Linked DNA regions of Sus scrofa. The protein of the gene in region 5 interacts with the protein of the main gene of each other region in a pairwise test. Links are inferred from orthologs where the notes say so. Each region holds a gene or a part of one and is shown on either strand. Other genes may lie near its edges. The genes, in order: U2AF2, SNIP1, RNPS1, FXR2, SRPK2 and ZSCAN9.

Region 1 (4,229 bases), on a different chromosome or scaffold from region 5:
TGTGCCCTGAACAACTCGGAGGAGCAGAACTCCGGGAAGGAGGCATGAGCCGACTTGGACCAGAGGCAAGGCGGCAGAAGGCGGGACTCAATGACTTTTGGGAGAGGCGACCATCGAGGGGAGCGGGGAGCTCTGAACAGAGACTGCCTCCAGGAGGCGGTAAAGCGAGATTCTCTGTCTCCCGGAAGTGCCCGCTGCGTGGCTAGCAGCGTCGGCGCGGTTGGGGGGGGGAACGCTCGCTTGTGTGGTTGCCACGGCAACCGCAAGGGGGCGGCCTTGCTCAACGGTCGGGAATGTAGTCCCTTCCCTGGAGGAAGGAAATCTCGCGCACGCGCGCTCGGGCTGTGGCCCCGACGACCCGCCCCCCCTCTCCGAACAGTGAGAGGTCTCGGTTCAGACCGATCTCTACGCAGGCGCAGAGGCTCTCTCGCGCTCGCCCCTTCCACTTTGCGCATGCGCACAAAGCCGCGCTGGCAACCTCCGCAGCAGCCGCGCGCACTCTTCACTCCGCTGGCTGCTTTTGTCTCGCGAAACCTTCTTAGGCGCTTCTCAACATCGGTCCTTCTTTTCCTCCCATCGCCCCACAGGGAGAGCCGGGTGCTGAGAGCCGAGACCCTGCCTCTTCTTTTCCTTTCCCCTGACCCACCTCGCCTCTGTCCTCCCTCCCTTTTTGGTTCCCGGAGCCGGAAGGAGCCGAAGCGCCCACGGAAAAAGCCGAAGGTGTCTGCTGTGAGTCCTTCCCCAGGCGGTGGCGGAAGGAGCCGAAGTTCTCCGAAAGGGGGAGGAGGTTGCTCTTGGAATCTCCGGAAAGAGCCGAAGTTTGGAAACGGGTTTAATCTCTGGTTGGGCCCGAGGGGGAGCGCCAGAGACCTTCGGAAAGTGCCGAAATCCGGGACGGTTAGGATTGTCGGAAGTGGCCGATTGCTTGGACAGGGCCGTTGGGAAAGAGAGGGTAGAATCCGTGGAAGCAGCCAAAGACGGACGGTTTGAGTTCTTGGAAGAAGCTGAATTCTAAGTGGGGAGTCTGGGTGCTAGGAATGCGAGGACCTACGGAAACATCCGAACGTTGAAGAGCTACTATCCGAAAAGTTACGAAAACCTGAGAAGCCTGCGAAACCCTCGCTTCGGGTGTTTTCGGAAGCAGCCGAAGTCGCCTCTCCCTTCGCTCCTCCACGGTCCGGAAATAGCCGACGCGTTTCGGAGCCAGGCCCTGGGGGGAGGTGCGCCTCGTGGGCGGGCCGGCGGGGAGAGGGGCGGAGCCGGGGCGGGGCTGGGCGGGCGGCAGGGGCTTGATTAGGTAGGAGGCGGTGGAACGCCGGCGGCGGCCGGAAGTAGCCGAAGCAAGCGGCGGAAGTAGCCGAAGCGGCCGGATCGGGCGCGCGGCAAGGCGAGGCGAGAGCTACACAGGGCCCTACGCGGCCGCCTCAGCATGTCGGACTTCGACGAGTTCGAGCGGCAGCTCAACGAGAATAAGCAAGGTGAGGGCGCCGGGGGTGCGGGGCGGCGGGCGGGGCGGCTCTCGGCTTCCCCCTGTGTCCCCCGCCATTTTCCCCCTCGCTTCCCCCCCTTAGGCCCGCACGGCGCCCCCCCACCCCGCGGTGCGCGCCTTACTCACGTGACCGCCCGGCGTGCCGCCGCGCGGGAGGGGAGGGGGCGGCGGGCGCATGCGCGCCGCGTTCGGTTCCGCGCCCCACGTGGCCCCCGGCGCGGGTGGCGCGGGCGCCGCAGGCTGTCGGGAGTCCGTTGCGGACTTATTTTCTATTTTTTTAATTTGGAAAGGAGATTATGTAGATTGGGTCCCGCAACCCCTCCTTTTCTCCCGATGCCCTCGCACTTCCGCTTCCGGCCGGGCCCGCGGCCGGTGTCTCCACGCCCCCTTTGTTCCAAAATGGCGGTTGGAGCCCCCCTTCACGTGGGCGCATGCAGGGCCGCGGTGTGGGCCCTTCTCGCACCGCCGCCCTTCGCGCCTTTCCTGGGGGCTAGTCGCCGGGGTCCCTTCCAGCCTAACGTGGGTGATGCGGTGTCTCCTGGGAGAGGTCCGCACTGTGCGTTTTCAGTGTTCCTCCCGCACGCGGTTCTCCCTCGCGCCGTCGCGCCAGGCACAGTGTGGCGTGTCTGCCCCCCATATCTCCTCAGTTAGACAGGTCCCCTGTTCTGTACGAGCCCACCCTCCGGGCGCCGCGTGTGTCCGCCTTTTCAACGTGGCGATAAAGAGACAGGCTCGGAGCGAGTAGGGAGACTTAGCTCAGTTGGGAGGATGGGAGGCAAAGTCCCTCCGGTGATGCGGAGTCCAAGTAGGAGGCCGAGCTAGTGCCGACTAGTTTGGACACCCCACGAATGTTAGAACAAACTTAGGCCTGGAGGAGGTGGCGAGCGCGAGGCCTAAGCTCCTTGTGGTCAGAGGACTGCACAGGGGGCGGGGGGCGCTGGGGTTCCCCTTTCAGCCCAGTCTGCAGTTGGGAGCAGGTGGCTGGTTTAGGAGGAGACAGCGCCTGGGGAAGACGAAGTCGGGTTTCGGAGTGCCCACGGGGTGTCTGTACACGTTGTAACGCTTCACAGCACAGGCTTTGGAGGGGAGGAGACTTGGCTTCTAGTACCTGCTTTGTTGCTAAGTAGTTGTGGAACTTTAACACGTCTATGCTTTTTTTTTTTTTTTTTAATCCTTTTCTTGTGTGTAGTGGCTGTTAAATAGGTATGTGTCTTTATTACCGGTTTCTGGAGTCAATGGTGATGGCAGTACTGATAGTGCTTTGCTAAGCTTTTACACGGCTTATTTAAGTAGATGGTCAACAGCCGTGGGGGACTGACATGACTTCCTTTCCTTTGCAGAGGAGGAAGCAGGCTCAGAAAGCTTGAAAAACTTTCTTTGGTTTTAGCTGGTGAGAGTTGCAGCTGAGGTTAAGTGAGGTAATGTGTGTACAGTGTGTGGCATACGGTCTGGCATTCGTTAAGTGCCTAACGAGGAGTATTGTGAAATGATCCCTAGTGAAATTTCTTAGGAAGGTAATGGAGAGGCTGCCCTGAGCTGCCTCAGAGGTGGTGTCAGAGTTGGGACAGCAGGGAGAGGTGCTTTCCCAGCGTCATTATCCCATGTCCCACACTTGGGGCGGGATGAGCGTCGTTTAAAAGACCGGGAACACTGAGGTTGGAAGGTACGGTTGCTGTTTTGTGGTTTTATGCAGTTGGTAGACAGAAGAGCTGAAGCTGATCCTGAGTCTGGCTGCAAAACCACGTGCCCCTAGGCTGGACTGCTAGATGGAACTGAATGAACCTTCCTTGGGGCACTTGCACACGTGCTGCTTGGTTTCTCTTGGGTGTCCCCACTGGTACTGGCACGTCCCTTGGGCTGGTGGAGTTGTTCCCACAACAAAGTGATCACAGCGTTTTGAGTAACCACAGCTGCCTTTCCTTCCTGACCTGTTTGGGTTGAGGCAGGGAACCTACTGTTGCTTTAAGGGGAAGCTTTGCCCTAGTATCGTTGTGCCTGTGGGTCTTTGTCTCTGTGGTCCAAGCCTCCTCCAAGCCTCAGTCCCTGCCTTGTGCACCTGTGTCTCCAGGGAATTAATTTCCTTGTCTGTGTCTCAGGCACCCAGCAGGCGCCACTTCTTCCTCTGTGTCTGTTCCTCTCTGCCTGCTTGTCTGTTTCAGAACCAAAGCCACAAAAGACGCTGTTTTTATAGTTGGCCCATCTTTCAAGAGTGGAGCCAGAGGCCCAGAGCCTCAGGCCAGCACACCTCTGGGCCCTCAGTGTCATGCTTACCTGCTACTTCATGCTACTTGCCTCCTGGTTCCAGGCTTGGATTTGTTTTTCGTGTTCAGTCTGTGTCTTCAAGGAGGTAACCGCTTGTCTTTAGGGGCTCCCGCCAGACCCTGGAGTGTTCTGGCTGCCCCATGTTGAGTATTGCCTAGTGCTTAACTGCACTTGTGGGCATTTCAGTGTTCACAACTTCCTTGCTTTTTGGCCAGGGGCAAGTCACATGACCTCCCTGAGCCTCAGTTTTCCCATCTGTCAGGTGAGCCTCTAGCAGTGTCTCCCCAAGGTAACAAGATTAAGTTCAAGTAGAGCTAGCACAGGATCTAGTCTTAGGTACCATTGCAGTGTTGGCTGGAATTTTTTTTTCTGTTTTCCAAGGTGCGTGTTTTTCTGTCTTTTAGTGGTTCTGGAGTTTGAGTTCACTTGTGAAAAGTTTTATGTTTAATTGCATCAGAAAAACATGTGAGGCAAAAGC
Region 2 (4,295 bases), on a different chromosome or scaffold from region 5:
GCTGTGGGACAGGACCTGAGGGTCCAGGCTGCTGGGGGCTGACTTTCAGTAGCCGAGCCTGAGAAGGAAGGACAAGGTGGGACAGGAGGTGATTTAGACACTCAGCTCCACACACTTTGGCAGGCTTTCACCGGGTCACTCGCATACCTCTCCCCCATTCTCAGATCACTCTTCCTCATTAGAAGTTATGTTTCAGAGCTGAAGGAGGCCATGAAGAATCTCTGGTCCCACCCCAACTCAATGCTTCTATCTCCTTGTGCAGATGTTGCTCAGGCCTTTACTTTCTTACCTTTAGAGATGGGGCCAGTCACTATCAGATCTATCCTTGTACACTACCTGGATAGGGCAGGGAGCCCCATCCATCTCTCTGTGACTTTTTTTCCCATCCTAAATCTGCCCTTAGGATCACCCAACATCTGGGCTTCTTGTACCGCTCTCCCACCCTCCTTGCCTGGTCCTAATTCCCTTTATTCCCAGTCACTGCACCCTCTGTCCCTTGGGACTCCCAATCCTCAAGGCAGGGATCTGTCATTCCCCGTGGGAGTTTCCGAGCTCCCCCATCCTGAGACTCCTCCTTACTTTGGGACTCCGTTTCTCCGTGTTGCGGCTCACCAATACCGGGGTATCATACTTGAGCAGAGAGTCGGCGGGGGGGATCATGGCGGCGGCGAGGGTAGCAGCACAGCAGCGACCCTCCTGTCAGGGCAGTGTTTGCCGTCGCCATGGAAACGTCCTTGACATCCTCATGGCCTGGGCGGGGCTTCGAGGCGGGGCGGGGCCAGCAGCTCGAGAGTTTCTTTCTGCTCAACCTTCGAGGAAAGTTCTCCTGCGTTTAGCTTGTCAAGCCTCCTGCTCACCGGGATCGCCTTAGCACTCTTGGAAGCAGGGGAAACTTGAGTTCTGGATCCCTTCGCTGCGTCCAGCTCACGGTTTGAGTAAGGCGCAGATCACTTTCGCTGATCCTGGATTTTGTCACCCGCAAATGGAATCATTTGACTCCTCAGTGAAGGCTGAGGAAGATTCCCAGAGGAAGGCATTTAAAGTTCCCAGGTTTTAAAAAGAGTTTGCCTTTAATGGAGAAATGGCGACGATTTGCCCGGCCGACGATTTGCCCGGGCTACGATCTGTGATTGCATTTCCTTCTCTTCCCCTTTCCTTCGTATTTCCAAACGTAAATGTCATCACAGTCTGCGCACAATTTTGCATCTTGCTTCTTCCATTTAACAAGTCAGACTTTTTTCCATTTGTCGTATAGTTTGTAAATACCATTGCAAATGGTGACATAATCTCTTTTCTACTGCTGGATGTGTAGTTTGTCCCCATGTTTAGTAACTAGTAATAACGCGTCAACAAACAACCTTGAGAGGAGCTTTTTCCCCCCAATTTGTTTTTGAAACCTAAAACTCCCGCCCCACAGAGTCGGGTCCCTAAGGCCCCGCCCACTCGGGATTCTGATCGCGTTATCCGCCGCGAGGGTTTCTGGGAGAGCGCGCACCCGGAAGCGGAAGTCCAGGACTCAAGTCCGTCATTTCCTTCACGGAGAGGAGCGCGACGGTCCTGTTTTTCCTTGGCTCAGCCGTTTCACAGCATGAAGGAGGTGAAGAGCGAGCGGGAGCGGGGAAGTCGGCGAAGGCACCGGGACGGGGACATGGTGGCGGCGGCGACGGTGGTGGTGAAGCAGGAGCGCCTCAGCCCGGAATCCGCGCCTCCTGTCCATCGCCGTCCGGACTCCTCCGGCGGTAGCCCTTCCCCGCTGGCCGGCGAGTCAGGCCGCCCCGGTCACCGCGGGAACCGAGCTCGAGGAGGTAGCCGGTAAGTGGGAAGCAGCCTGGGGTAGACCTGAGGTCGGGCTTTTTGAGAAAGGGGGACAGGGCTGGCACCAGGAGCACACCTTGAATGCTGAGCGCGGCAGCTTGAATTAATCCTAAGGCGATAGAAGTGACCGGTTGTGAGTGTGTTAACGTTTACTCTGATACCTGTTACTTGCGTTATACCTGGGCGTTAAACGCCTAATGCCTGATGGGCAAGTTCTTGCTCCTTCATCTCTGTGTGCTCAGCATTTCTCCGAGTATGGTCCAGCTGATGACAATGATAGTTTATGTTGAAATGAAAGATTTTTCCCACCTGCCTCCAAATGGGGTTATTTTTTCAGTTATCTGCCCCAAGAAGTTTTCATATCCTGAGCCTAGGTGATCTGTCTGATATTCTGGGGGGAAATTGTCTTTTGCGAACAATTTATTCATTCATTCGACATAGTTTTGTCGAGTACTTATTATGTGCTAAAGACCTCATAGGTTATAAAATAATGTGGAAAATAGCTATGTACAATTTTTTAAAATATAAATGTATATGTGGAATTTGAATCAAACTGTAAAATTATACACAGATAAAACTGAAATAAAGAAAATAATGGGAGTTCCCATTGTACCTCAGCAGTAACGAACTGGACTAGTATTCTTGAGGACTATGAGGATGTAGAATTCATCCCTGGCCTCGATCAGTGGGTTCAGGATCCAGCGTTGCCATAAGCTGCATTGTAGGTCGAAGATGCGGCTCTGATCCTGTGTTGCTATGGCTGTGGCGTAGGCCAGCAGCTGTGGCTCTGATTTGACCCCTAGCCTGGGAACTTCCATATGCTAAGGGTGTGGCCCTAAAAAGACAAAAAAAAAAAAAAAAAAAAAAAGGAAGAAAGAAAGAAAAAGAAAAGAAAATATGAGGCAGGCAGGCAGGCCGTCCTGGGTATTGGGGTGGAAAGAATGAGCATGATAGATGATCTCTACCCTGGTGAAACTGAGATGCTCTAGCCCTGAGACAGAATAACAAGGAAATAAAGAAAATAATTTGTTAGTAACAAGTACTAGGGATAGGTTAAGACAGTAATGTCATAGAGAGTGGAGAGAAGTGGTTCTCTGTGAAAAGTCTGCCACTTGACCTGAAACCTGATTGATAAAAATAATCCAGGCTTGTAAAGATCTAATCAGAGAAAACAAGCAGTGCAAAGATCCTGAAGTGGAATTAATTGTGTTCCTTCTAGAAAAGGAGGAGGGGAGGGGATCCGGTATAGTGAGGTGGGTAGGAATGCGGTGGGAGAGAGAAGAGGTAGAGCCTGGAGCCAGAGGACTTGCTGATTGATTGTGAGCGTGTTGGGGAGGAGCATGGGGCCTCTTGGTGGTAAGGGGGAGAAAAAAAAAGAATCTAGGATGACTTCTAGGTTTTTGGCCTGAGGAACGGATGGATAGTGGTATCAGTTACCCTGATGGCAAAGATAGGAAAGTTGAGAGGTGGGAATTTAGCCTTCTCTTATCGAAGTGAGAAGTTTCAATTGGCAGCTACATATGTGGGAGACATTCAGGGCTGAAAAAGTGAAGCTCCTGACTCCTTTAGTGTGATCAGCAGAAGCCTTCACAAATGTGATGTTTGTGTTAGTAGATAGGCCTGATACTTGAAGCTAATTTGTATGAGCGAATGAAAATTGAGATGAAATTTATGTGTACCATTCTCTGAACAGGTCCCCACCGAGAAAGAAAAATAAGTCCTCGGGGAGAAGAAGCAAGTCTCCCCGGAGTAGGAGAAGCCGAAGTCCTCACCACTCAACAGTCAAAGTGAAGCAGGTAAGCGGATTGAGATGTTTTCATACCGGCTCCATCAGAGCTGGAGTGTTGTGTGTGTGTTCACCTCTGCCTGCGGTGGGCTTTTCTAGAAACTGGCTTTTTGGGGTTTTTTTGTCTGCCTGTTTACTTCGTTAAACTAAACCTTTTATTTTGAGATAACTGTTGATTCACCTGCAGTTGTAAGAAAATAATACAGAAGTGGTTGTTTCTCCCATTGGAAGCATTTTACATAATTATAGAACTCTATTCCAACCAGAAAAAATTTTTAAGGGAAAAGTGGTTTTTGTTTTTAATTAAAGTATAGTTTAATGATAGTTCCCTCTGGTGTACAGTAGGTCCTTGTTGATTATCTATTCACAACCAAAATATTGACATCAATACAGTTAACATGCAAAACCTTTCCATCACCACAAGATCCCTCATATAGTCCTTTTGTAGTCATATTCATTTCCTTCGCACCCTTAGCCCTCAATTCCTGGCAGCTTCTCATCTCGTTTCCATTTTGTAATTTTGTCATTTCACAAATATTATGTAAATGAAATCATACAGTATGCAGTCTTATGGGATTGGCTTTTTTCCATTCTGCAAAATTCTTTGCAGATGCATTTAGATTATTGCATCTCTGTAGTTCATTCTTTTTATTGCCGAATGATATTCACTGGTATGGGTTTAACCATTTTCCCA
Region 3 (3,970 bases), on a different chromosome or scaffold from region 5:
CCTCCTGCCTGGTCCTGGGCCTCTAAACCTCACCCTCTTGCCGTTGCCAGGAGGCTCTGGCAATGCCTCCCCGCCTGCGCCGTCCACCAGCCCCGGGATGAAGCCTTGGCGCCTTATCTTGCACACCTTCCAAGTTCCCCCCAAATGCTAAACTCCACCTTCCTAGCCCCGGCTTCTGCCAGCAAGCCTCTGCGCCTTTGCACCTGCTCTTCTCTCGGCTGAGGGCACCCTTCCACTTGGGTCTCAGCTGCAGTGTCACCTCCGCAGAGGCGCCTTGACTTCTGCACCTAGTCTTCTCTTTTTATTTTATTTTATTTTATTTTTTGTCTTTTTGCCATTTCTTGGGTCTCTCTCGCTGCATATGTTGGTTCCCAGGCTAGAGGTAGCCGCCGGCCTACGCCAGAGCCACTGCAATGCAGGATCCGACCTGCGCCTGCGACCTACACCACAGCTCACGGCAACACCGGATCCTTAACCCACTGAGCAAGGTCAGGGATCGAACCCACAACCTCATGCTTCCTAGTCAGATTGGTTAACCACTGAGCCACAATGGGAACTCCTTCTTTTTTAAATTTTTAATGTATTTATTTATTGTCTTTTTAGGGCCGCATGTGCGGTATTTGGAGGTTCCCAGGTCAGGGAGCGAATCGGAGCTGCAGCTGCCAGCCTACGACACAGCCACAGCAACACCAGATCCCAGCCGCGTCTGCGACCTTACATCACAGCTCATAGGCAACGCCGGATCCTTAATCCACTAATTAAGGCCAGGGATCTAACCGGCGTCCTTATGGACTGTAGTCAGACTTGTTTCCCCTGAACCACGACGGGGACTCCTGCACCTCGTCTTCTACCCTGTCTTTTGCTGCCCGTCCTTTCTGACGGCACTACCCCGTCTTACCCACCCGGCCGAGTTCCGCTGGAGTAAAAGCTGCGTCTGCCTGGCCACTCCCTGAGAGGCTTCTAACCGCACGAACCCTCTGCCCGGCCGGTCCCCACGGCGGTCGGCTAGAGGCCGCGGCACCTGCGCACTCCTCCCCCAACCCCGCCGCCCGAAACTCCGGGTCTCAGGCCCAGCGCCCACGGACCGCACCAAGCCCGCGGCGAGCCTAGGACGCAGGCGCACGGAGAGGGGCAGGGCCGCCTTAACCCGCCCCGCGCCGGCCCGCGAGCTACCACGCAGCACGGCCCTCCCAGCCCCAGCAAGCTGCCAGTTTGCCCGCCCTATGCGCCGCGCAGCCAGCCCCTGGCGGCCCAAGACGCCCCTCCCGAGAGGGGAACCAAAGTACGCGCTCCAACGCGGGGTGCTACACACGACCTTGGCTCTTTAACATTCTCCTTGCTCGCGCTCATTGGCTGAGGCGCTCTACGTCATCGCTGCGCGCCGGACGACGGCGCCTTCCCGCTCCCTAATCCTGACGCCAGAGCGGCGCCGGCCTCGGCGGCTGAGGAAAGCGGGAGGAGGTCTCGGCGGCGGGAAGATGTAAGTTGCGGGAATCCGACCCCATCCGAGCTTCGGGGGCCGCTCGCCAAGGTCGGCGGGGTGCATCGTGAAGCCGGCCCTCTCCCCGGCCCCGCGGTGGCAACGGCGGCCTAGCGGCGCGGTGTAGTTCTTAAGAAGAAAGAGTGGCCAGAGGAGAGCTGAGTAGGAGGCGCCGAGGCCGCGGCCCGGAAGTGGTCGGGGCTGCGGCGGGCGGAAGGGCGCCCTCGCTTCGTCTTCTCTGCGGCGGGCCCAGGGAGGCCCGCGGAATTCGGAGCAGCCGGGAACTCGGCCTCCACCCTCAGGGTCCTCTCGCCGGGCAGGAGACCCAGGCCCGCAACGTCAGGCCCTGCCCTGGAAGCTCTCGCGGCCCGGCGCCTGGAGTGGGGAGTTGTGAGTCTACGCGGACAGGGGGCGGCGAGGTCGCGTTGGGCCCGGGGCCGGTGGGTGCAGAGTTGCTTTGTGGGGTGCCCTGGGTGACCGTCTGACCTTCCTTTTGAAGATCTTGCTTTAAACATGGAATCCACGAACATTTGTCGGACTCCTGTGTGCCGTTCTCGGTGCCCATCTTTGGGGATATGGCCCTTAATGCCTTGGAGCTCTGTTTCCCGGCTTGCCCCAGGAGGGAGGGTACGGGAAGGTTAAATATCAGTGGAGAAGAGATGTGGCTTTTTGCCTTTGTAATTTCGCATGAATATGCCTAAAACGTACTGTTCAGCGGGGAAGGGGCTCTGAAGATACGACCTGAAACGGTAGCTACTCGAGATTTAACTAGTTGTTCTCTCCTCTCTCTGGCTGTTGGACTGCGCAACTTTCCGGAGGATGGGGGAGGTAACCAGAGTCCTGTGCTGTTACCTGAACTTGTGTAAACAGAGAACGTCAACCATTGCTTTCTACCACCTAGGCCTCGCCCAGCGAAGCGTTTACGTACTCTGTGGTTCTTAACTTTCCAGAGTTTTAAGAATAACTTGCTAGATTTTTATTTACAAAGTACATTAGGGCAGATCTTTAGGCCTGGGGTGGGGCCCAGCAATCTGCACTCTGTCATCTGTTCAGTAAGGTTGGTTCAGTAATTGGCCACGTGTGGATATTAGGCACTTGAAACATACCCAGCCCAAAGGGGGGTGTTTAAAAGACTTGGTATGGGGAGGCGTAGATATTTTGTTAACACACTTGGATACTGATTGGTGAAAAGATAATATTTGGGGTATAGGGTGTCAGATAAATACATTACTAAAAGTTAACTACATCTGTTTCTTTTGTACTTTTTGCAAACGTGCCTGTTAGCAAAATGTTAGGGTACTCTTTCTGTTGGACCAGACTGCTCTTGGTGATCCTCTCTTGAGCATTCAGAGGTTGTGTGCGACTTTTATTTAGAGTCAGGAGTTTTTATGGGGAAAGAGCCTCCAGCGCCTTTCTTCTGAAATTAGCTGAGGTTTATTGAGCCTTAAGTAGGTGCCAAGTTTCTTTTATGGGTCAGTTTGATTTATGTCTTTGATAACTATGAGGCGTAGACTGATGAAAAATTGAGGCTAGAAAGGTTAGGTGATTTATCCAAGGTCACACAACAAAGCTCTGAACGAAAGCCGAGCAGGCTGACTCCACACTCTTAACCATTGAGTTAGACTCAATGAGTGTCTGAGGACTGACTTATCCCAGCTTGCCTGGTCCACATCTCCTGTACCGTATTATTTTAAGACTGAGCATTTTAAAAGACTGTAGCCCTGGAAAAGAGCAACAAAGGTGATGTTCTCTTTTGTATTCTCTTTGATTGTCCAAAGCTGGACACTCTTGAGTCAGTGATTATCCAACATTTTGGCACCACTGCAGACTTAGGAACAGGCTCCAAATTAGTCGGCTGTGTCCGTCCAGGTGACTTACAGGCTGTCGGGGAAGGTGAGGTGGAAGTAGTAGAAGCTAACATCCTAAGATCTCTGCTTAGAACTCAAGCAAATCCTACAAAACTTGACTGGAACCACAAAAGGCAACAGTCCCCAGGAAACGGGACCCACAATGAACTGGTAGTTGGTTCTTGAACGGTATTTACTAATGATCATTTACTGAGTACATACTGCAGTCCAGGCCTTTTGCTGAACCATCACTTACAATAACTGCGTCAATTCCAGTGTCTGCTTGTTTCCCTCCAATTTTATTTTTGAAAAAATGTGAACACACAGAAAAGTTGGGAAACTTTTGTACAGTAAATAGCCACATAACCGGGGCCACCTAGAGTCTACAATTTACATCTTTGCTGTATTTGCTTTATGTCATCCATCTTATTTTGTCTCGGGTATACCTCTCCATAACATTTCCATGTGCATATGCATCTTTAATATTTGCAACGACTGCTTTTTAATGTATTGTTCTCATGCTTTTTAACTGTTCAGAGGGGACATTTCACTTGTTCGCACTGAGTATTAAATGTTGGGGGTGGTTGTTGCTGGTTTGTTTGGGGGGATTTTTTTGTGGTTTTTTTTGTTTGTTTGTTTGTTT
Region 4 (4,233 bases), on a different chromosome or scaffold from region 5:
TCCTTAACCACTGAGCCACGATGGGAACTCCTAAATCTTAGGATATTATACTACTGCTTAAGATCTTTCAGTGGCTCCCCAGTTTTGATAAAAGAGAGCTATTCTCCATAATCTGATTTACAAGTACTTCAGGGTGTAGCCAAACGCTCTGAACTAGTTGTGGTTCCCCAAAGGACATGTTCTTTCTGCTCCTCTGCACCACTGTATTCCTTTATCACATCTTCAGATGGACTCCATGCGCTTGTTTGTTTAAACTTGTTTAACTGCCTGCCTCTTCCTCAATATGTTATAAAATCCTTGTTTTGGGGACGTTATGTCTTTGTATCTTTACCACTTAACACAGTAATTGGAACACAGGGAGGGCTAAATAAATATTTGTTAAATGATTAATTGTACAACACAGGATTCTAGTTTCTGGGCTATTTTATTCACTTCTACCTAAATTTCTTACTTACCTTGGTTTAAGAATCCAAAGTTTTCCCTCTACCATCCTTTCTCTGTACTAATATTTCCTATTTTGAATATCCTCAACACTTAGATTCAAATCTTGTGCTAATAACCTAAGTTGCATTTGCCTTTTGGTACTGCCTTGAAATTCTTTTCTAACCTTTCATCATATGCATGATCAGAATCTTCTTAAGGCAAGAAGACTTTAACCTCATCGCACAGTTACAGGCGATCAGAAGAGTCCAGACTGGCGTGTGGACCGTAAAACCCGGCGCATGCGCACCAGGCTCTTTTTTGGGGGGGCATTTCGACTTTTTTTTTTTTCCCATTTGGAGCGTGCGCACCAAGAAAGACAAAGGTGGGGAAAGTGACCAAGCAATCATTCAGGCGCATGCCCATCCCTAACTTGTTCAAGCCCGGTGGAGTGCACTGTGGTGAAGGGGGTGTGGTCTGACCTGGAGCAGCAGAAATCCAATCCGATTGAGTGAGCTCGGTCCCTCCCTCCCCATGATTGGTTAGCTCTCAGTGTTGTGGGGCGGGGAAAGGAAGAGATGGGGGCGGTGGAATGGTGGGGGGGACGGAGAAAGAGAGCCAGTCTGGTTCTGCGCAAGCGCAAGTACGCGACCAGGAGGGGGCGCGAGAGAGTGAAAAGAAGTGTGGAAGCCCTGGTGCGCTGGCGAGCGCGAGCTGGGTCGCCAGCCTTGACGCCTGCGCCGTGGCCCTCGGGGCCCGCGCGCGGCGGGCGGGTGCCCGGTGCGCCTGCGCAGTAGGCGGCGGCGGCAGGGGGAGGTGGAGGCCGTGGAGCGGCAGCGGCAGCAGCGGGTCCCGGGACTGAGGCAGCAGCGGGGGCGGCGGCGGGCGGAAGCTGAGGTGACGAAGGCAGCGGCGGCGGCGGCCGATTCCCTCACGGTGGCGGAGACCAAGGCGGCGGCGGCGGACGGGGAGCGGCCCGGCCCCGGCCCCCTGCTCGTTGGCTGTGGCAGGGCCGCCGTGGGGCCGGCCCGGCTCCCGCCCCCCGCGGCTCCCCCTCCGGCTCCTCCTCCGGGGAGACGCCGGGGACCTGGCCCGGCCCGTACTCAGAGCGCTGCTGCAGCCGCCGCCGGGGGAGTCGGAGGCGGTGGCGGCGCCATGGGCGGCCTGGCCTCGGGGGGGATGTGGAGCCGGGACTGCCCGTCGAGGTGCGCGGCTCCAACGGGGCCTTCTACAAGGTGAGGCGGCGCGCCGGCCAGGAACGCGGGTCTTCAGCCCCTTCTCTCCAGCCGGAGCGGGGAAGAGTGGGGCGGCATTGAGGTTCTGGAGCTAAGCCCCGACCCTTAGAGCCTTAGACCTGCTCCCACCCGCAGCCCTCGGGGTGGTGGGGGGGGAGACCTCTGGAACTTAAACCCCTTCGTCTTATGTTTGGCCCGTCTATTCCGCCTGCCTTCACCCGCATCTCAGGAAAGAACATCAGGGTATTAATTGTGCTTAGATCAGCGCCCCCCCCCCACCTCCCAGAAGAGACCCCATTTACCCAGCGTCTCATTGACTTTTCCTGTCTCCTAGTAGAAGACATACCTTAGATCTTCATCACGTCTTCCCCACAGTCCTAGCACATGGAGAATTCTCTTTATTCTCCCCTATTGCCCCCTTGGGAAGGCCGTCCCATATTAGATCCTTTCATCTTCCTCGGAGAGGCCTCTGCCTACTGGCTCTGAAAGACTCACCCCACTTTCATCTTATATTTCTGTTCCCAACCCAAGGAGAAACGGTCAGAATCTGTTTATGACATTTAGTATCTTTGACCTCAGGAACTCTGGGCTGTACCAGTCAAGTTGCCTCGTAGCCATAAGGTGGCATCTTTTCACAAGTCTCTCACCCCACCCCTTTATTCCAAGATTAGCTGGTCTACCGTTCTCCCTAGGGGTGGTTTTGTGTTTGTCATCTCACTTTGACCTCGGATACATTTAGATCCTTCGGATAGTTTCATCCTAAGGAGTGTGAGCTTCATAGCCCTGATCTCTAAAAGGGGCTCTCATGAGGATTCTCTGTTTATTTAAAGCATTTCTTTCCACTTCTGGAAGACTTTTAGCCAACTCACCCAATTTGGGAATCTGATAGCCTTTTTTTTTCTTTCTTTCCTTTTTTTTTTTTTTTTTTTTTTTTTTTAGGAGCAGCTGACTATCTTTAAAAGATCATTGTTTACTTATTTCAGCTCCCTCCGTTGCCTGGGATTTGGTTTTTTAGAACTCCTTTTATTATCGCCTTCTTTATCTGTTCTGAATCCATTTTTTTTTTTTTGTAGGAGGGGTTTTCCCACTTAGATTAAGCCAGAGGGAGACCCCAATTGCCTCTCAGGCATTTTTCTTTATGTGACTGATCTTACTCTTGTTATTTTGAACCTCTTTGGACTTTATGCCTGCAATTGTTCCAGAGACTTTCCTGATTCCTGTCTTAGTCTTTCTTTTACCCTGAGGAGCAAGCTCAGAGATACCTTTTTGTAACATCACTTTTGAGGAGAAGAGCCCCCCTTTCCTTCAATTTCCCCCAAGCTTTTCCTCCTATAAGAGACGTCTCCAGCTTTGTGCCCTTGGAAATGACTTTCTCCAGCTCCTTCCCTGTGAAGTCATATCTTGTTATAACTGGAAAGGGTCTCATATTTGCCCTTGGAGTAGAAAGTTTCTGCCCCAGCTTCACTTGGTAAGTTCAGTGTAGTCATCTTTTAACTGAGTCCAAATGCCTGTTTATTTCTGCCTTACTTTCCTCACCATTTTTCTTTATATTCTTCAGTGCCTTTAGTTACCCACAGTCCATCTTATCCTCTCGATTTAAGTCTTGCTTTTTTTATCCTAATATTTCTATATTCCTGTGTAATCCCAGGAACTACCTATTCCATTACTCTCTTGAAATGGGAGAAGGAAGCTCCCAGCTGATCCCTTCTGTCATTTTTTTCTACATACTTTCCTAACTCATGGGACTTTTTCTTCTAGCCTTCCTCTATTGCATTTGTTTCCCTTGGCAAAGTCTCTTAATTCCTTTCAGATTCTGATAGAGTACATTTGTCTCTTATATCCTTTTCCCCAAAACTTGTATTACCTTTGTTGAAATAATAAATTTTAGCCTTATTTCCCACAGTATCTTGTCCTGCATCTGGGTCCTTGCACCCCCAAGAAAAAGGATTCTTAAATTGAGTCTGAGATCAAGATATGATGTTTGCTTTTGTTCTAAGAAGCATAGGAGCCAAGCACAGCGGGAGAGATTGATAACCAGTTCAAATTAACTGTGTGAGACTGCTGGGAAGTCCTTTCCACATCCAAGTGTCCAAGAGAAAATCTCTACATCTTTCCCTTTTTTCCTGTGGGCTATGGCAGTGATAGTTGTGATTGAGTGAATTGGGGATAGGATGCTTTGAATCTGAGAGTAGAGTTCGGAGTTGAACTGAAAGCCATGCAATGTGGATTTTGTGTTCTGGCCACTTAGCATTTTCTGCTCCACGCTGCAGTTGAAAACAATAGATCCTTAAATTCAGACTAGGCTTTCTTCAACTTTCAGTGCCATATAGATACTTACCCAATCTGACCTTGTTACTGATTTAATATTCATGACTCAGCAAACTTCACTGTGGTTCAAGGAGTCTTCACGTTGCTTCTGGAACTATATATTTGGGAAGGTTCTTTTCATCGGTGTCAGAATTGGGTCTTGTTGTTGATCTTCTCCCAGGATAGAACTGCAAATGTCAGATTAGGGATCTGAGTTTTCTTATAGCTATCCCATCAACTCTTCCTCTTCTGTCAGAACTTAAGGTATCTT
Region 5 (4,157 bases):
CATGGTTCCTAGTCGGATTCGTTTCCACTGAGCTACAACCGGAACTCTGTAGGTTTGATATTTTTGAAAATAAAAAATTGAGAAAGTAAAAAGCTCTTCAGATTCAAGCAGTGCTGTTCCAGCGGGTTTAGCATCTTTAAAATAATCATACTTTTTTTTTTTTTTTTTTTTTTTTTTGGTCTTTTCTAGGCCCACATCTGTGGCATATGGAGGTTCCCAGGCTAGGGGTCTAATTGGAGCTGTAGCCGCCGGTCTACACCATAGCTCACAGCTCACAGCAATGCCGGATCCTTAACTACTGAGCAAGGCCAGGATCAAACCCGCAACCTCATGGTTCCTAGCTGGATTCGTTAACCACTGAGCCAGGATGGGAACTAGCATCTTTAAAATAAATATTTTATTTATTTATTTTTGTCTTTTCTAGGGCTGCACCTGTGGCATTTGGAGGTTCCCAGGCTAGGGGTCTAATCAGAGCTTTTGCTGTTGGCCTAAGCCACAGCAATGCCAGATCCGAGCCGCGTTTGCAACCTAGACCACAGCTCACAGCAACGCCAGATCCTTAACCCACTGAGCGAGGCTGGGGATGGAACCCTCAACCTCATGGTTCCTAGTCAGGTTCGTTAACCACTGTGCCATGATGGGAACTCCATAAAATAAATATTTCAGAGCAGCTATTCTGATCAGTTAAAACTACAGATGATGGAGTTCCTGTTGTGGCTCAGCAGGTAAAGAACCCCGAGATAGTGTCTCTGAGGATGTGGGTTTGATCTCTGGCTTTGGTCAATGGTTTAAGGATCCATTGTAGGGGTAAGCTGCAGTGTAGGCTGTGTATGAGGCTTGGATGCAACCCCTAGCCTGGGAACTTCCATATGCCCCTGGATGGCCTTAAAAAGAAAAAAAAAGAAAAAAAGCGCAGTTGAGATTAAATGGTCAGGATGAATCTCTTTCAGAAATATAATTATTTAAATGAACAAGGGACCTCTGCAGTTATTTTTCTCACAGTCATCTTGATTAGGAAACATGATGCGTGAGTTTGGAGTCAGCTAGGCCTAAATTTGAATCATTGCTGGGTAAACCTCTTCAGGACTGTTTCCTCTTCGTAAGATGGAGAAAGAACTCCTTTGGTGGGTTGTTGAATTAAACTGTTACCTATGGTATTTACAGAGCTGGGCTTTGATTCGTGTGCAAACACTTAATTCAACCTTCCATGCTATTTGCATCGTTTCCTTCATCACACTCGAGCAATCCTCTGGGGTAAAGGTGAGAAATAAGATGACTTTTCCAAGGTCACACAGCTATTGAAGGACCCAGGTTTCCCAGCTCTTGGTCCTGTGCCCTTTACACACTCGCCGGAGAGGAGGGAGCGGCGCTCATGGGGATGCAAGGATGTAGAGGAGCAAAGGGGGAAAAGAGGCCGCGCGAGGAGAGGTGGTGTGAGACCCATGGAGGCGCTGGCCCAGGAAAGGCGCATGGAGAGGCGGGCAGCGCGTCGGGCCGGGGTAGGTAGAGGGGCTATGGCTCGTGGCCCTATGCCGGGGAGAGGAAGGAGGCCTGGGCCAAACGCGGGGGCGCAGGAGCCGAAGGCCCAGACGGCGGCGGGGGCGGGAGCAGCGGTGGACGTGGGGGGGGGTCATTTTCGCCCAGGTGAGTCAGGCGGGTGGGTGCAGGTGGGTACGGGTGGCGCGGGAGGGACAGCGCGGAGGGTCTGGACCCCACCGGGTGGGTGGGGGCGGGGCGGGGGCGGGGCCGGCTGGGGGCGGGTCTTGCTGGGCCCCCAGCTGGAGCGGCAGCTGCGGCGGCGGCGCAGGCGCGGTCCCCGCCTCCTCCTGGCCGGCAGAACGAGTGGTGGCTGCATCCCGGCTCGGCTCCCGCGTCGCCGCCGCCGACGCCGCTGCCGCCGCGAAGCCCCCTCCCCGCTTCCGCTGCGTCGCGATGAGCTCCCGGAAAGGTGAGTGGCCCGTGGCGTCCTCTCTTCCCTGCCACGCGGCCCCTGAGGCCGGTCTGCCCGACCGTTAATGTGTGTCTTCTCTTTCCTCAGTGCTGGCCATTCAGGCCCGAAAGCGGAGGCCGAAAAGAGAGAAACATCCGAAAAAGTGAGTCCACGCTGCGCTAGTCTCCGGACCCCCGCCCCTGCCCGGTCGGGGGTAGCCCGCGGCCGCGCAGGGGAAAGTTGCTCGGGTCCCCGGGGCGGGCGAGCGGGCGGGCTGATCCCCCGGGACGCCGGCGCTCGCCTCCAGCGCGCCCCGCGGGCTGCCCGGGGGGAGGGGCTGACGGTCGGGGGAGGGGCGCGCTGGCCCGCGGCCAGCCCGCTGAGCATCCCGGACCCTCGGCCCCTTGGGTCCCAAGGCACAGGGGGCTGACGGACGAGGAGGCGCCGGGCGTGCGCAACGTCCCCGGCTCGCCGAGCTGTCCCGGGGGTCGCGGGCCTTCCTGGGAGGGGCGGTGGCGTCTGCAGGCCGGGCCCGGCCCCGCCGCGCCGAGTGCCGGCGTGAGGCTGCGGCGTTGCTCCCACCTGGCCACCTGGGCCCTAGAGGAAGAGGAACGGAGTGTGAGAAAGAGTGTGTGTGTGTTGGGTGTCTCCTCCTCTTCCTCCCCGGCCCCCACCTTTCGGCCTTTCAGCTGAAAACCCGAGCTGGTTGTCAAGTGGTTTGCCTCGGGCGTGTTCCTGGCTCGAGTTCAGCTCCGAGACCTGTGCGTTTCGGCGCTTGGGTTTTTTTCCGAAACTTTCTGCCCGGGCCGAGCGTGCCTTCACTGCGCGGCGGCTGCGCCCGGGTCTCCGGCTGCGCGGGACCGGTGGGCGTGTGCGCGGGCGGTCCTCGGCGCGGCTGCCCAGCCCCTCATTGTGCTGGGAGGCGACGAACGGGGTGGTGATATTTAAAACGTGCCAGCCGCCAGCCACCCCCAGCCTGGCCGCGGACCGGAGTGGGAGCGCCCGGCGCTCGGGAAGTCTTTCCTGGAGAGCTGCTTCGGGACCGCGGAGCGCCGCCGTGTCTCTCCCTTTCTTTCCTGGTTTTGAAGAATCTATCAGCGTTCAACATCTTTACTCCTTCTCCCAGATTTGTGGCTTCCCTCTTCCATTTGAGCAAGAAATACCCTGTGTTAAATTTGCTACTATAGGGATAGCCCATCATCATCTTTAAATAAAATCACGAAATATTTCTTGTTTGTTTTCTTTAGGGGACGAACCTGCAGCCTTCCTAGGCTTTTCCCCTTCCTATTAGCCTTGATTTCTGCTTAGCGAATTTCACACCCATTGGTGGCGTCTATGAAAACTGCCTAAGTCTTTACTATTAATGTAATGTATCGTGATAGGATTTTTGTTCATTCAAACCGGAATATAACTTGAAAGTATGTTCAGCATTTCACAAAATGTCGTAGCAACATCATAATGCCTTAAAAAAAAAAAAAAGAAAGAAAAACCTACTAGAGCGAGGAAGAAGTACTTATTAAGGACTTAAGGAACTGGTGGGTAAAAATTGGGTATTACATTCTCGAAACGTTAAATAGCAATGGATATTTGATAGTTTTAGATGCTTTAAAAATTAATGCTCTCAATCAGAACCTTACATTAGGCATTTCTTTTGGTGAACGACGGAAAGCCCATAAGTAAGGACTGTAATGTTTAGGATCCTGAGTGTTGGGTTTGGAGCACAACTTTCAACTCAAAGAGTTTATTCCTGCATAGCCCCTTTTTTTTTTTTCAGAAAAGTTAATAGAAGTTGAAAAAGACATGCTGGGAGTTACCCTTGTGGCGCAGCGGAAATGAATCCGGCTAGTATCCATGAGAATGCAGGTTCAGTCAGTGGGTTGGGGATTCTGCGTTGCGGTGAGCTGTGGTGTAGGTCACAGACACGCTCGTATTCTGCGTTGCTGTGGCGTAGCCCAGCAACTACAGCTCCAATTTGACCCCTAGCCTGGGAACTTCCATATGCCGTGGGTGCAGCCCTAAAAAGACACCCCCCCAAAAAAAGAAAAATGCATGCCTTTTTTTTTTTTTTTTGTCTTTTTTGCTATTTCTTGGGCCGCTCCTGCGGCACGTGGAGGTTCCCAGGCTAGGGGTCCAATCGGAGCTGTAGCCACCGGCCTACGCCAGAGCCACAGCAACGCGGGATCCGAGCCGCGTCTGCAACCTACACCACACAGCTCACGGCAACGCC
Region 6 (4,235 bases), on a different chromosome or scaffold from region 5:
TAGATTGCAGACTCGGCTAGAATCCTGTGTTGCTGTGGCTCTGGCGTAGGCCAACAGCTACAGCTCTGATTTGACCCCTAGACTGGGAACTTCCATATGCCACCAGTGTGGCCCTAAAAAGAAAAAACAAAAAAACAAAAAAACTCCTCTGTAGGGGAATCCTCTTCCAAACAGACAGATGGGAGCCAGTCTTTCTCAAAGCTGTTTAACTACGACATCCACTTGACCCTAGCATGGAACCAGGCTGCTATAGTTGACCTACTTAACACACATAAACCAGTTACAGAGCCAAAGCAATTGCCAGTGAGATATTTGAGAGTTTCATATAAGTATAAAAACTGTTTACTTAAAGAAAAAAAACTGTTTACTTATCAAAGATGTACATCAAAAATGGAAGAGTAGGGAGTTCCCGCCGCGGCTCAGCAGTAAGAAACCAGACTAGTATCCTTGAGGATGAGGGTTCATTCCCTGGCCTCGATCAGTGGGTTTGTGGGTTAAGGATCATAAGCTGTGGTGTAGGTCCAGTGTTGTTGTGGCTCCAATTTGACCCCTAGCCTGGGAACTTCCATATGTCTCGGGTACGGCCCTAAAAAGATTTAAAAAAAAAAAAAGAGTAACATATTTAAAGTACAAGAGAAATTGAGCAATTACTCCCATTACATGGTTCTTAGGAAAGTTGTACTGAGGGCTTTGCAAGTGAGGTATGTTGGAGAAAGTGATTGAGATTTGGGGCAATTTTTCTTTATACTGGTGCTCTAAATGATTACGCAGTTACTGGATATTTGGAAGAAGCTGAAGTAAAGGATAAAGCTTGAGTTTATTTAATGCCCTCACATGGCTAAGCTGTAGAAAACAACTAAAGGTATTTGCACAGCTACAGTTTTAGAGTTAAAAATACATCAGGGTACCTCCATTAACATGCAAGATGCTTTTTTACTGATGCGACGTTAAAATAATAATGAGGTTAAAACAAAGCAAAACATAGTTTAATCTACAAAACACCACTATCCTGGTTGGCATAAAAAAATTGATGAACGACTAACAATACTTATAATTATGCTCTTTTACACCGATGAAGCTAATTTAATTGATTTTGAACCGATTTTGCATTACTGCTAAGAACCCAGACAGCTTTAGTGGCAAAAAATTGGGGGAGGGGAGAGAAATAATTATACATGCAAATCCCAAGCTAAAGGTGATGGTGGTTCCTTTAGGGCGGTGGAACTAGGAACAGGGTAGGATTTCACTTTTTACTTTATTAATTTTGGCATTGTCTGAGGTTTTATAAAAAACCATAGGTAATGGATTAATTTTTTTAATGTTCAAAAAATAAAGCATTTTCAATCATTAATGGTCGGTGCTTCAGCCGTGTTTTCAGTTTAAAACCTGTTTGGGGCTCACACACGTATGAAATTCTGTGAGTCACCGTGGAAAACGAACTGGAGGCCCAGGCAGTTGGGGGTTGGCTCCAGGTGAGGCACGCGCAGGAGGTAGGAACCGAGACCCGGAGTCCTAGACCGGCCGGAAGTGCCTTGCGCGGAGGGCCCCTCGGTGGCGGGCATCTTCCCCGCTGGGCCTTTGTTCCCGGGCGCGCGCCAGCGCCAGGGCGGGAGCCCCCTACCTCCTCGCCTTTTCCAGGCCTAGTGAGTGGGCCCGGGACCGGGGTGAAGTGGGGTGGAAAGGGACTCGCAGCCCCGAGGAGGGCGGGGGGCCAGGGGTGGAGGTGGTGGTGGTGGTGGTGGTCGTCGTCGTCGTGCTCCGGGGTCCTATCGCAGAACGATCCTCCCAGGCTGGAGGGACGTTGCGTGGCAGGGGGCTAAGCGGGGGCTGCCAGGGCAGAAGGTCCCCACCGTGAATAACTGAATAACGGCAGCAGGATTAAGACACAGGGCAGGAAACGCCTGGAGTTGGGGAAATATTTTCCGGGACAAGGAAGTTAAGGACACATATTTTTTAAGACGTTCTGCAGCCTTCCTCATGGACAGCCCCTGTGTATACGCTTAGGTTCTAAAAGCATCTGAAGGGGCGTTGAATGGACCGAGGTTCAAGTGCAGAATATGACATTTTCCGGCTCCCTTTCCCTGAGTTCACTGATTCGCAAACCTTGAAATGCATACAAATTCCTGAGGAGCACCCAAATTCCTGAGATACATAATCAGGGCTCCCTATCCTTCCCCTCCCACCCCCAGTCCTGGGATTCTATTCCCTGGATGTCTGCCAAAGGGCCTATGGTGCTGGAATTCAGCTGCTGGGAGGCACTTCGGACATTTTGGAGACACACCGGCCTCCTGGGTCTCAGGAACCGCCGAGTATCAGATTTCTTCTCCCTTGAGCTTCTGTGGATTCTTAGGACTGTCCTCACCAAGAATTTGACATTAAGCAACCTGCTTAACTCCCCCCACTCCCACCCCGGCCCCATTTCTTATCTATTGAAACAGTGATTGTAAACAAACCTCAGAGGGTAATTGTGAGGCTTAAATATGTGTCTGAAAGCATGTTGTAGACTGTTGTGCAGCGTTGGCTGTTACTCTGAGGAGACAGCAGAGTAGCATGCAAAGCCCACAGGACTTGAAATCTCCCTAAATTTTCCTTTCTGTGAATTAGTGAAAATGAAACCAACCTTAAATGATTGTTTAAAAGACTAATTTTACAAACTCAAGACTTCAATAAAAGTTCATTCACTTAGTCAAAGATAAAACCATTTTTCCATTTATTCTTTCTCTAATTTGACTTTTATACAATGAGTCTGTAGATTTTCCATTATCCCCACCCTTTGGTCACTTTACTTTCAGTGAAGAGCTTTAGAGTCTATGACAATTGTTTATACGATTAGTTCCTATAATTAACTGCTGCTGTTTTTCTACAAAAACAGGGATTTCTTTTCTTTTTTTCTTTCTTCTTCTTTTTTTTTTTTTTTTTTAACTGCTTAAGAGGACACTTCCAAAGGTGTTTCTAAAACATAACTCCAGCTGGTGGGTCCCTTTTAAGCTATTCGAGATCAAGATGACAGACCCCAAGGAGGTTTTATCCCTGGATGTTCAAGCTCCTGAGGTTTGGGAAGAACTTCTGACACTGAAAGTGGAGGCAGAAAGTCACTTCCAAATGCAGGAATCCAGGCTGAAACGAAATAACCCACTGGCAAGGGAGATCTTCCGAAGGCACTTTCGACAGCTCTGTTACCAGGAGACCCCTGGACCAAGGGAGGCTCTCACCCGACTCCGGGAACTTTGCTACCAGTGGTTGAGGCCACATGTGAGCACGAAGGAGCAGATTCTGGATCTGCTGGTGCTGGAGCAGTTCCTATCTATCCTGCCCGAGGAGCTCCAGGGCTGGGTGAGGGAGCGCTGTCCAGAAAGTGGGGAGGAGGCAGTGATTTTGCTGGAGGATCTGGAGAGAGAGCTCGATGAACCACAACATGAGGTAGGAAGGGAGATCACCAGGGAAAAAGGTTTATGGGTGTCACCAAGGACCCTTGTGATCCTCCACTTTGTATCCCCTTGACTTTGGTGATTAAATAAGACCCTGATTTCTGTTTCTTTCTGGAAACAGTTATAATTTCTTCAGAAGTCAAATCTTGTCTCTTTGTTTCTAGATGGTAGCCTACAGACTTGGACAAGAAGTCCTCCCTGAAGGGACAGTGTCTCTAGGAGAGCAAATGTCACTGGGCCTCCAGTCCCAGCCTAAGGAGCCCCAACTCACATGTGACCCTGCTCAGGAGCCCCAACACATTGGAGAGACAGGTGAGAGACAGGATTTCTTTGGTGTTGAACATATCCCACCTGGTCGAGCACAAACCAAAAAGCCAGAACTGGGAAACCAGGGATATAGAAGATACTAGCAACGCTCAGTGCTTCTGACTGCCTGGTGGGCTCATCCTTGTCCCCTTCGCCTGCACTCAGTCTTTCCCTGAGTACCATCCTGGAAACTCTCTGGTCTTGGTTCAGGAATCACTGTGAAGAACAGCTTTAGAGAATGGACTTCAGGGTTTTTTGTTTGTCTGCTTTTGTTTAAAATATTTATGGCCGCACCAGCAACATATGAAAGTTCCTGGGCCAGGGATTGAATCCAAGCAGGAGCTGCGACCTACACTGCAGCTGGAACAGTGTTGGATCCTTTAACCCACTGTGCCTGCAGAGGATGGAACCCACGGTTCCGCAGCAACCCGAGCCCCTGCAGTTAGATTCTTAACCCACAGCATCACAGCGGGAACTCTGACTTCAAGGTTTGACAGGTTC

What was found.
Region 1: the proteins of SRPK2 (region 5) and U2AF2 interact in binary tests that used the Homo sapiens proteins (3 or more experiments, as listed by UniProt). The link is inferred for Sus scrofa from reciprocal best matches to the Homo sapiens genes SRPK2 and U2AF2.
Region 2: the proteins of SRPK2 (region 5) and SNIP1 interact in binary tests that used the Homo sapiens proteins (3 or more experiments, as listed by UniProt). The link is inferred for Sus scrofa from reciprocal best matches to the Homo sapiens genes SRPK2 and SNIP1.
Region 3: the proteins of SRPK2 (region 5) and RNPS1 interact in binary tests that used the Homo sapiens proteins (3 or more experiments, as listed by UniProt). The link is inferred for Sus scrofa from reciprocal best matches to the Homo sapiens genes SRPK2 and RNPS1.
Region 4: the proteins of SRPK2 (region 5) and FXR2 interact in binary tests that used the Homo sapiens proteins (3 or more experiments, as listed by UniProt). The link is inferred for Sus scrofa from reciprocal best matches to the Homo sapiens genes SRPK2 and FXR2.
Region 6: the proteins of SRPK2 (region 5) and ZSCAN9 interact in binary tests that used the Homo sapiens proteins (3 or more experiments, as listed by UniProt). The two-hybrid records come from large-scale screens. The link is inferred for Sus scrofa from reciprocal best matches to the Homo sapiens genes SRPK2 and ZSCAN9.

What each region holds. Positions count from the first base shown.
Region 1 is NC_010448.4:59,772,761-59,776,989, forward strand, and holds the start of U2AF2 (U2 small nuclear RNA auxiliary factor 2), read left to right. Parts: upstream 1-1,429; coding exon 1,430-1,478; intron 1,479-4,229. UniProt on the Homo sapiens protein: Plays a role in pre-mRNA splicing and 3'-end processing. By recruiting PRPF19 and the PRP19C/Prp19 complex/NTC/Nineteen complex to the RNA polymerase II C-terminal domain (CTD), and thereby pre-mRNA, may couple transcription to splicing.
Region 2 is NC_010448.4:93,609,370-93,613,664, reverse strand, and holds the start of SNIP1 (smad nuclear-interacting protein 1), read left to right. Parts: upstream 1-1,495; 5' UTR 1,496-1,588; coding exon 1,589-1,812; intron 1,813-3,508; coding exon 3,509-3,611; intron 3,612-4,295. UniProt on the Homo sapiens protein: Required for pre-mRNA splicing as component of the spliceosome. As a component of the minor spliceosome, involved in the splicing of U12-type introns in pre-mRNAs. Down-regulates NF-kappa-B signaling by competing with RELA for CREBBP/EP300 binding.
Region 3 is NC_010445.4:39,737,888-39,741,857, forward strand, and holds the start of RNPS1 (RNA-binding protein with serine-rich domain 1), read left to right. Parts: upstream 1-1,170; 5' UTR 1,171-1,478; coding exon of another isoform or gene 1,479-1,480; 5' UTR 1,481-1,870; exon of another isoform or gene 1,871-2,308; intron 2,309-3,970. UniProt on the Homo sapiens protein: Part of pre- and post-splicing multiprotein mRNP complexes. Auxiliary component of the splicing-dependent multiprotein exon junction complex (EJC) deposited at splice junction on mRNAs.
Region 4 is NC_010454.4:52,900,458-52,904,690, reverse strand, and holds the start of FXR2 (fragile X mental retardation syndrome-related protein 2), read left to right. Parts: upstream 1-1,433; 5' UTR 1,434-1,655; intron 1,656-4,233. UniProt on the Homo sapiens protein: mRNA-binding protein that acts as a regulator of mRNAs translation and/or stability, and which is required for adult hippocampal neurogenesis. Specifically binds to AU-rich elements (AREs) in the 3'-UTR of target mRNAs.
Region 5 is NC_010451.4:105,261,890-105,266,046, reverse strand, and holds the start of SRPK2 (SRSF protein kinase 2), read left to right. Parts: upstream 1-1,357; 5' UTR 1,358-1,372; coding exon 1,373-1,499; intron 1,500-1,778; exon of another isoform or gene 1,779-1,932; coding exon of another isoform or gene 1,933-1,948; intron 1,949-2,038; coding exon 2,039-2,093; intron 2,094-4,157. UniProt on the Homo sapiens protein: Serine/arginine-rich protein-specific kinase which specifically phosphorylates its substrates at serine residues located in regions rich in arginine/serine dipeptides, known as RS domains and is involved in the phosphorylation of SR splicing factors and the regulation of splicing.
Region 6 is NC_010449.5:22,080,640-22,084,874, forward strand, and holds the start of ZSCAN9 (zinc finger and SCAN domain-containing protein 9), read left to right. Parts: upstream 1-1,435; 5' UTR 1,436-1,643; intron 1,644-2,931; 5' UTR 2,932-3,003; coding exon 3,004-3,420; intron 3,421-3,592; coding exon 3,593-3,740; intron 3,741-4,235. UniProt on the Homo sapiens protein: May be involved in transcriptional regulation.